Linked DNA regions of Macaca fascicularis. The protein of the gene in region 1 purifies or fractionates together with the protein of each later gene. This does not show direct contact. Links are inferred from orthologs where the notes say so. Each region holds a gene or a part of one and is shown on either strand. Other genes may lie near its edges. The genes, in order: TSPYL6 and PSME3.

Region 1 (4,440 bases):
AAACAAGAAAGAGAACACCCAAAATTACAGTGTTTCTTCAAAGAACCCTTCTCTAGGCAACATATTTAACACTCCAACCATCTTCTATTCTTCTATGTGAATACTAAAAAAAAAAAAGTACTTCTCTTCCCATCATAACTAGTCAACCCAGTGTTAATTCTAGGCCTGATTTTCCCCTGAATCATTTCTGCCTTTTTGTTCAGTTTTCCCTGCTTAGAGCACCCATCACAATCTCCTTCATTCTTCTATCCACTCTGAACTAGAAATCACCTTTCATTCCATCCAGCTCTGTATTCCTTTAAACCCTCTAGGAATTGCTAAAGAGGGATGAGGGGCTGAAAAGAAAGGAGAATGGGGAATAAGAGGTCTGGCAGTCTCTTTTACAGAACAGCCTGCTTCTGGACATGACAAAGAAACTAAAAAGCCTGCTTCTGCAGATGTTTCTGAACTACTACTTTTTTTTTTAAAGGAAGACAGAAGAGATTTATGAGAGATGAGAGAAAAGAAAGTGTACACTCACTCTGGCACTTCATTAGGTTCAGGAAGGGAGGAAAATAAAAGTACCTAGATTTTCAATGAATCCACTGGTTGTGGCTGAGAAAGCTTGGTACTTGTCAAGAACACCAACATATTAACCTTGCCATGAGGATAGGGTCTGACATGTCCCCTCAACCATTTGTCTGACAGTAGGGTTTCTGAATGACGAGGGTGGTGGTGGCAAAGAATTGAGAGGTCTTTTGGAAGAGGAAGGAGTCTTTTGTGTGCTGACAGGAAACCTGTGTCCACCACCAGTGTTGTGGAGATCCCTGTTGATTAGAAACCACAGAGTGGAGCTGGCAATGGTCTGGGATATGTTCACTCAGCAGGGAGCTGCCCAAGGTGGTGGGCATAGCCAGTAGCAGGCAGCAATAGGTGACCAGAGTCTCAGGAAAAGTAATGGAGTCCCATAATTCACACAGACCAAGTTGCCCCCTGCTGTTCTCCCTTGACTTCATTAATGCCCAGCAATTGTCCACAGTCCTTGTGCCTGTACTGTCAGATGCAGAGCAGGGTGAGCCGAATAGGTTCTTAGACACAACTAGAAATCCAAATAGGAGCCAGACCAGAGGTCTTGGGAACAAACAGAGTCCAAACAAAGGTAAAGACAGTATAATCTACAGCATCATTCGCTTCGCTTAGAAGGATGTAACCCATCGGCTGGGAGCATGTGATGTTAATGCAGAATAGCAAGACAACCAGGTGAAAGGGAAGCAGCATAGCCACCAAGGTATCAATCTTCAGGTTGAGAGAACGGAAAGTTTAAACAGAGGGTAGAGGAAAGTCAGAACAAAAAAAAGGGCATACCTAATGCTGTTGCCCAACCACAGGTCCAGCTCGTGGTGGCAGGGGACCTTCTGCAGGAGTAGTTCCAAAGGCAAAGGTTAACCAGACTGGAATCCAAAGGGCCTGGGGATCTCCACTGGCTCCCTCATCGGGCGACGTCTAGCTCTATGGGCGTCTTCATCCAACAGGTAGTACTGCAGTGGATTTGGCCAGAGGTCCTCTTTAATAATCTGAGCAATCCTGTCGGACTCTGGAAGGCTGTGGTCTGAAAACCAGGCGAAGAAGCTGCAGATGACATGTCGGTTCCTATGAATGAAGGACTGGGGTCCATGGCCCTGGCGCCACATGATTAGAGTGGAAAAAGACACCACTTGGCCGAAGGATCTGACCTCATACACCTTGACGATGAGCTTGTTTCTGAAGTAAGGGTTTCTTCGAAAGAAGAACTTAAACTTGCAGCCTGTCCTAGGGTGTCTGAGCTCCTTCACTTCCAAATTGGTTAAGTAGCTTAACATCTCGGCATCTTGGCCTCTAATCATGGCAGACAGCTGTGGGTGGTGGCGGAAAGCAGTGACCCAGAAGCCCGGGATATTGCGAATGATGTCATTCCTCTGCTCTAGGTAGTATTCATGCATCTGCCCAAACCTGCGCTCCACCTGCAGGAGGGCCCTGTCAGCCTCGGCATTCACGGAGTCCAGTTCCAGCTGGATGGACTCCAGGGGGTTCAGGTGGAGACCCACGTTCAGGGGCCCGGGCCGGGGCCCAGGCCCTGCATCCTTATTTACCTCATCTGTTGCTCTGTTTCCTTCCGCCATGTCCATTTCCTCGCCTCCTAGCTTCTCATCGACTGGGGCTGAGAGCATGGCACACTCCTCAGGCTTCACGTCCTCGGCCTTCCCCTCTGCAATCACTTCAGACTCCGACCTCCCTGCACCACAGGTTTCTACAGCCTTCTCCCCATCTAGGCCGGGCGTCTCTTCACCCGGAAAGCCATTTTTGAGGCTGCCGTCAGTTGTCAGCGAGATAGAAGCTGCTTCTAGGCCCTCCGCGGGTGGTAGAGTCACTTCCTGTCCAGCTTTGATGGCTCCACGACTGCGACTCCCATCGACCAAGATGTGGAAAGTACGGCCACTATCTGCGGGATCCTGGGGTGCGACCCCCTCCTCTGGAAGCTGGGGCGGTGGGAGCACGACTGGCTCCAAGCGGCCCTCAAACACATCTGCCATTACCTGTGTCGCCTTGCTCTTCTCTCGGGACCTCTGGCCCTGGTGCGGGTCTTCCGGGGCACGGTCGAGAGTAGCAGGCCTGTGAGGACTCTCCAGGAGGCTCATGTTGGTAGCGGCCAGGGCGGCAGTCGGTAGAGGCCAGGCCACAACGGTGGGTCCCGTCAACGTTCCTCACACAAAATGGCGAGTAAACACCTCGACTATTTGCACCGCCCACTCTTCAGTCTCGCGACACCCACCCCTCAGTCTCGCGAGTCTGTGGTGGTGTCCTGTGCATCGTTATTTTAGCCATTGTGCTGGATGAGTAGTGGTATCACATGGCGGTTTTAATTTGCATTTAGCCAAAGCCTAATCAACTGAGAACCTTCTCATATGTTTTTTGGCCATTAGGATATTCTCTCTTGTGCAGTATCTGAGGCTTCTCCCTATTTCTCTGTTGGGCAGGTGTTCTTTTTCATATTGATTTGTAGGAAGCCTTTGTACATGCTAGATACTAGTCATTCTTCAAGTATAGATATTACAAATATTTCCTCCCACTCTGTGGATTACTTTTTCTGTTTTTTGAGGTTTTTTTGTTTTTTTGAGACGGGCTCTGTTGCCCAGGCTGGAGTGCAGTGGCGCCATCTCAGCTCACTGAAGCTGCTGACTCCCGAATTCAAGCGCTTCTCCTGCCTCAGCCTCCCAAGTAGCTGGGACTACAGATGCCTGTCACCATGCCCAGCCTTTTCTTTCTTTTTTTTTTTTTAGTAGAGATGTGGTTTTGTCATGTTGGCCAGGCTGTTCTTGAACTCCTAGCCTCAGGTGATCCGCCCACCTTGGCCTCCCAAAGTGCTGGCATTACAGGCGTGAGCCACTGCGCCTGGCCTACTTTTTCATCATCTTAATGGTACCTTTTGAGGAACAAAAGTTTTTCATCTTAATATGTGTCAATTTGTCATTTCCCCCTCTACCTTAGTGTTTTTCTGCTCTGTTTAAGAAATCTTATCTCTTGCCTGGGCACAGTGCCTCACACCTGTAATTCCAGCACTTTGAGAGGCAGAGGTGGGAAGATCACTTGAGCCCAGGAGTTGGAGACCAGCCAGGGCAACATAGGAAGACCCCATCTCTATTTCAAAAAAGAATTTAAAAATGAAGAACCTTATCTCACCAAGATTGTTCAAATTTGTATCTGCCATCCAGCTGGAATTCATTTTTATGAGTAGGGTCACAATTTGTTTTTTTCCATATGAATATCTAATTGACCCAGCCTTGTTTATTGAAAAGACCATTCTTTCCACATTCATAGGTTTTTAAATGTTTCCATCAAAAGTGACATAAATCATTGGCCAGAGCTAGTCAGTTGACCTTGTCTAACTTTAATAGGACAGGGAGGTGTAACCTTCTCCTGAGCCTGGAAGGAGGAAACTGGAAATATTGGCAACTGCTGTATCACTCATCATGAAAAATAATTTGAGTAATAAACAAAAGACCAATAGAGTTAGGCCAAAGGACATAGATAAAAGGTAATAATAAACAGAAATTTATGTAAGACAATACAGAGTATCAACCAAAGATTAATAATAAAAAGAGAAACAGTATTTGGAAAGGAAAACATAGTCACATTGATTATTTAAAGAAATATGACAGGATGTTAGACAGCTTTATGCCAATACATTTTCAAACTTAGATGAAATATATGGCTTCATAGAAATGTATAACTTATCAACAAGGACTGAAATGCAATAGAAAATCTAAATAGACCTAGAGACAGTAAATAAATGGAATCAGTAGCTTAAAAAAATCTTTCCACAAAAGTAGCGTGAGGTTCAAATGATTTTGAGGCAACTACTACCAAACATTCAAGGTACACATAATCCATTTTTATATTTATTAAACATTCAACAAATGTTTA
Region 2 (3,619 bases), on another chromosome or scaffold:
CTCCCAATTAGGTGGGATTACAGGGGTCCACCAACCATGCCCAGCTAATTTTTTGTATTTTCAGTAGAGATGGGGTTTCACCATGTTGGCCAGGCTGGTCTCAAACTCCTGACCTCATGTGATCTACCTGCCTCAGCCTCCCACAGTGCTGGCATTACAGGTGTGATCCACCACACCCGGCCTCTTCAGTCCCATTTTATTTTTTTAATTTTAATTTTTATTTGAGGCTGAGTTTCGTTCTTATTGCCCAGGCTGGAGTCCAGAGGCACAATCTCGGCTCACTGCAACCTCCGCCTCCCGGGTTCAAGCAATTCTCCTGCCTCAGCATCCCAAGTAGCTAGGATTACAGGCATGCGCCAATTTTTTTTTGTATTTTTAGTAAAGACAGGGTTTTTCCATGTTGGTCAGGCTGGTCTCGAACTCCTGACCTGAAGTGATATGTCCGCCTCGGCCTCCCAAAGTGCTGATATTACAGGCGTGAGCCACCACACCAGGCCTATTTTTATTTTTATTTTTTTTGAGACGGAGTTTCACTCTTGTTGCCCAGGCTGGAGTGCAATGGCACGCTCTTGGCTCACCGTAAACTCCACTTCCTGGGTTCAAGTGATTCTCCTGCCTCAGCCTCCCAAGTAGCTGGGATTACAGCCATGTGCCACCACGCCCAGCTAATTTTGTATTTTTAGTAGAGACAAGGTTTCACCATGTTGGTCAGGCTGGTCTCAAACTCCTGACCTCAGGTGATCCACCTGGCTTGGCCTCCTGAAGTGCTGGGATTACAGACATGAGCGACTGCACCCAGCCCAGTCCCATTTTATTTTTTTTTTTTATTTTATTTTTTTTTTTGAGACGGAGTCTCACGCTGTTGCCCAGGCTGGAGTGCAGTGGCGTGATCTCGGCTCACTGCAAGCTCCGCCTCCCGGGTTCCCGCCATTCTCCTGCCTCAGCCTCCTGAGTAGCTGGGACTACAGGCGCCCGCCACCGCGCCCGGCTAATTTTTTGTATTTTTAGTAGAGATGGGGTTTCACTGTGGTCTCGATCTCCTGACCTTGTGATCCGCCCGCCTCGGCCTCCCAAAGTGCTGGGATTACAGGCTTGAGCCACCGCGCCCGGCCCCAGTCCCATTTTAAAGAAGAAATTGAAGTTTGAGCTTAAACAATTTGCTCGAGATCACACAATACAGGTAGAGCCTGGTTGCAAACCTAAGTCTGTCTGACTCTAACACCGATATCTTAACCATACTGTACGGCACACCCCTCCTCTCAGGCAGAAAGAAGAGAGAAACCCCGCTAGAGGACTTCATGGTTCTCAACACTCAGTTGATGAACAGAATTTAGTCTACTAATTTTACCTCAGACCTTCATCTCAGCCCTTCAGAGAATTTCAAGAATACTCTCGACAGAACTAAGTGAAGCCACAGCAACTATACAAGGACTGAGGTTACTCACATATTGATTCCTCAGCTCTGATATGATGAGCCGAAGGCTGATATATTCTTTCTCATCAATCTCTGTCACGGTGCGGCGATAGTCCTCCTGCAAGGAGGGTAGAGGAAAAAGCTAGTCCCCAAGGCCCAACTGTTCCCAGATAGCTCCTTCCCAGTAACAGTCACTGTTCACTATCCTGCCACCTCCACCCTCAGGCCACAAACCACTTACTTACCACATGGGGATATTTAGCTATTTTAGAAACCAATTTGGCTCTTGTAATATAATATCTGAAAGGAGAGAGAAGAGGAGGAAGCTGCAGGAGACCCTTGATGGTGCCCACCACCTCATCAGCCCCCAATGCCTCGGCCAAGCCCAAGCAGCCCTACCTAGAAATCTGGTCCAGATAAGATGCAGCTTCACTCTCAACAGTTCTTAGCTCTGCAACTGTTTCCTCCTAAAACAAACAAACAACAGGTGCATCAAAAGCCACTTCCATGACATCCACAGCAGCCCCAAGGAGAAAGGAAAAAAAGCTAACGCAGGGGAGATGAGAGTATCTCCCAAGCCGCTCTTCCCAGTTCGTAATTCAAGTACATTACCTGAATGGACACCCCAAAGTTGTTTCCATCTTCTATCCTGGGAATCAGGAGCTGTACCCACATTTTGACCTGGAGGTCAAAACATATATGAGGACCTTTGCCTGAAGGCTGAAGCCATTAAGTACACAATTCAGACGGCTGGGGCCAGATGCCAGGAACACAGAAGCCAAAATACCTAGTCTGGCCAGGCACAGTGGCTCACACCGGTAATCCCAGCAATTTGGGAGCCTGAAGCGAGTGGATCACCTGAGGTCAGGAGTTCGAGACCAGCCTGGCTAGCCATGGCCAAAATGGTGAAACCCCATCTCTACTAAAAACACAACAAGTAGCCGGGTGTGTTAGCAGGCACCTGTAAACCCAGCTACTCAGGAGGCTGAGGCAGGAGAATCGCTTGAACCCAGGAGGCAGAGGTTGCAGTGAGCCGAGATGGCGCCACTGCACTCCAACCTGGGTGACGGAGCAAGACCCCATCTCAAAAAAAAAAAAAACCACAAAAAAATCTAGTCTGCCAATTCCCATACCACCCGTACATCCACTGTTTCTTGCACTTCACGGGGGGTACTTGGGGCCGGCCCATAGGTCACTAGCCTGTGCCTCACCGTGTTACATTTCTCAATCAACAGCCGGATCTCAGGTTTCACTTTCTCAATAATGTCCACCAGCTGCTGGTTGCTTTTCAGCATCCCATTGGGCATCACAAACACCTTGGTTCCTGGCAGAGATATGAAGGTCAAATGATCAGGGAAGAGGGAAGGACACAGCATCCCGTCTCTCTCTCATTTTTCCTATACCTATCAGATGCTATGACCTCTGCCTTTGTCACAATCCTACCAAGACACCACTATTAGAATCAACGAGAATGTGTGGAACAAAAGAACAACAGATGAGCATCTGAAACATGACAAAAGTCTTAAACCCTCTGTTTATTGGAAAACCAGGTTAAGAGCACTAAATAACAAGCATGTTTGGAGGAGCTGGGAATGCTACCTCTGGGAAGTGAGATCAGATCTTGCCTCCTGGTCGGGAGAACTAGATCCACCTGCTTCTCAGGGTTGCAAGTCAGGGGTGGGGTGAGGAGAGGTAAGGTAAGGGTGCCTCTTACCTTGGAAGGCTTCTTCACACTCATCCAACCTTCGCTTCTTATAAGTGGGCTAAGGATACAAAGAGGCAGGGATGAGCCTTCTTTTGACACCCACATGTCCATCACAAGATACCCTCCAAGCAAGTTTAATCCCTTCCTCAGCCTCATAGTTTGTGTTATTAATTTCTGCACAATTTCCTAAGTACACATAAAGCTTTAAGAAAAGGTTCTTGGGGCTGGGCGCGGTGGCTCAAGCCTGTAATCCCAGCACTTTGGGAGGCCGAGATGGGTGGATCACGAGGTCAGGAGATCGAGACCATCCTGGCTAACACGGTGAAACCCCGTCTCTACTACAAAATACAAAAAACTATCCGGGTGAGGTGGCGGGCGCCTGTAGTCTCAGCTACCCGGGAGGCTGAGGCAGGAGAATGGCGTAAACCCAGGAGGCGGAGCTTGCAGTGAGCTGAGATCCGGCTACTGCGCTCCAGCCTGGGCGACAGAGCGAGACTGTC

What was found.
Region 2: the proteins of TSPYL6 (region 1) and PSME3 purify together in Homo sapiens (affinity purification with mass spectrometry; 3 studies listed by BioGRID and IntAct, counting the BioPlex papers as one, with this or other methods). This does not show direct contact. The link is inferred for Macaca fascicularis from reciprocal best matches to the Homo sapiens genes TSPYL6 and PSME3.

The regions. Positions count from the first base shown.
Region 1 is NC_088387.1:67,591,472-67,595,911, reverse strand, and holds the start of TSPYL6 (testis-specific Y-encoded-like protein 6), read right to left. Parts: upstream 2,845-4,440; 5' UTR 2,655-2,844; coding exon 1,422-2,654; 3' UTR 1-1,421.
Region 2 is NC_088390.1:63,893,645-63,897,263, reverse strand, and holds part of PSME3 (proteasome activator complex subunit 3), read right to left. Parts: intron 3,178-3,619; coding exon 3,129-3,177; intron 2,739-3,128; coding exon 2,626-2,738; intron 2,096-2,625; coding exon 2,027-2,095; intron 1,882-2,026; coding exon 1,814-1,881; intron 1,715-1,813; coding exon 1,660-1,714; intron 1,533-1,659; coding exon 1,446-1,532; intron 1-1,445. UniProt on the Homo sapiens protein: Subunit of the 11S REG-gamma (also called PA28-gamma) proteasome regulator, a doughnut-shaped homoheptamer which associates with the proteasome. 11S REG-gamma activates the trypsin-like catalytic subunit of the proteasome but inhibits the chymotrypsin-like and postglutamyl-preferring (PGPH) subunits.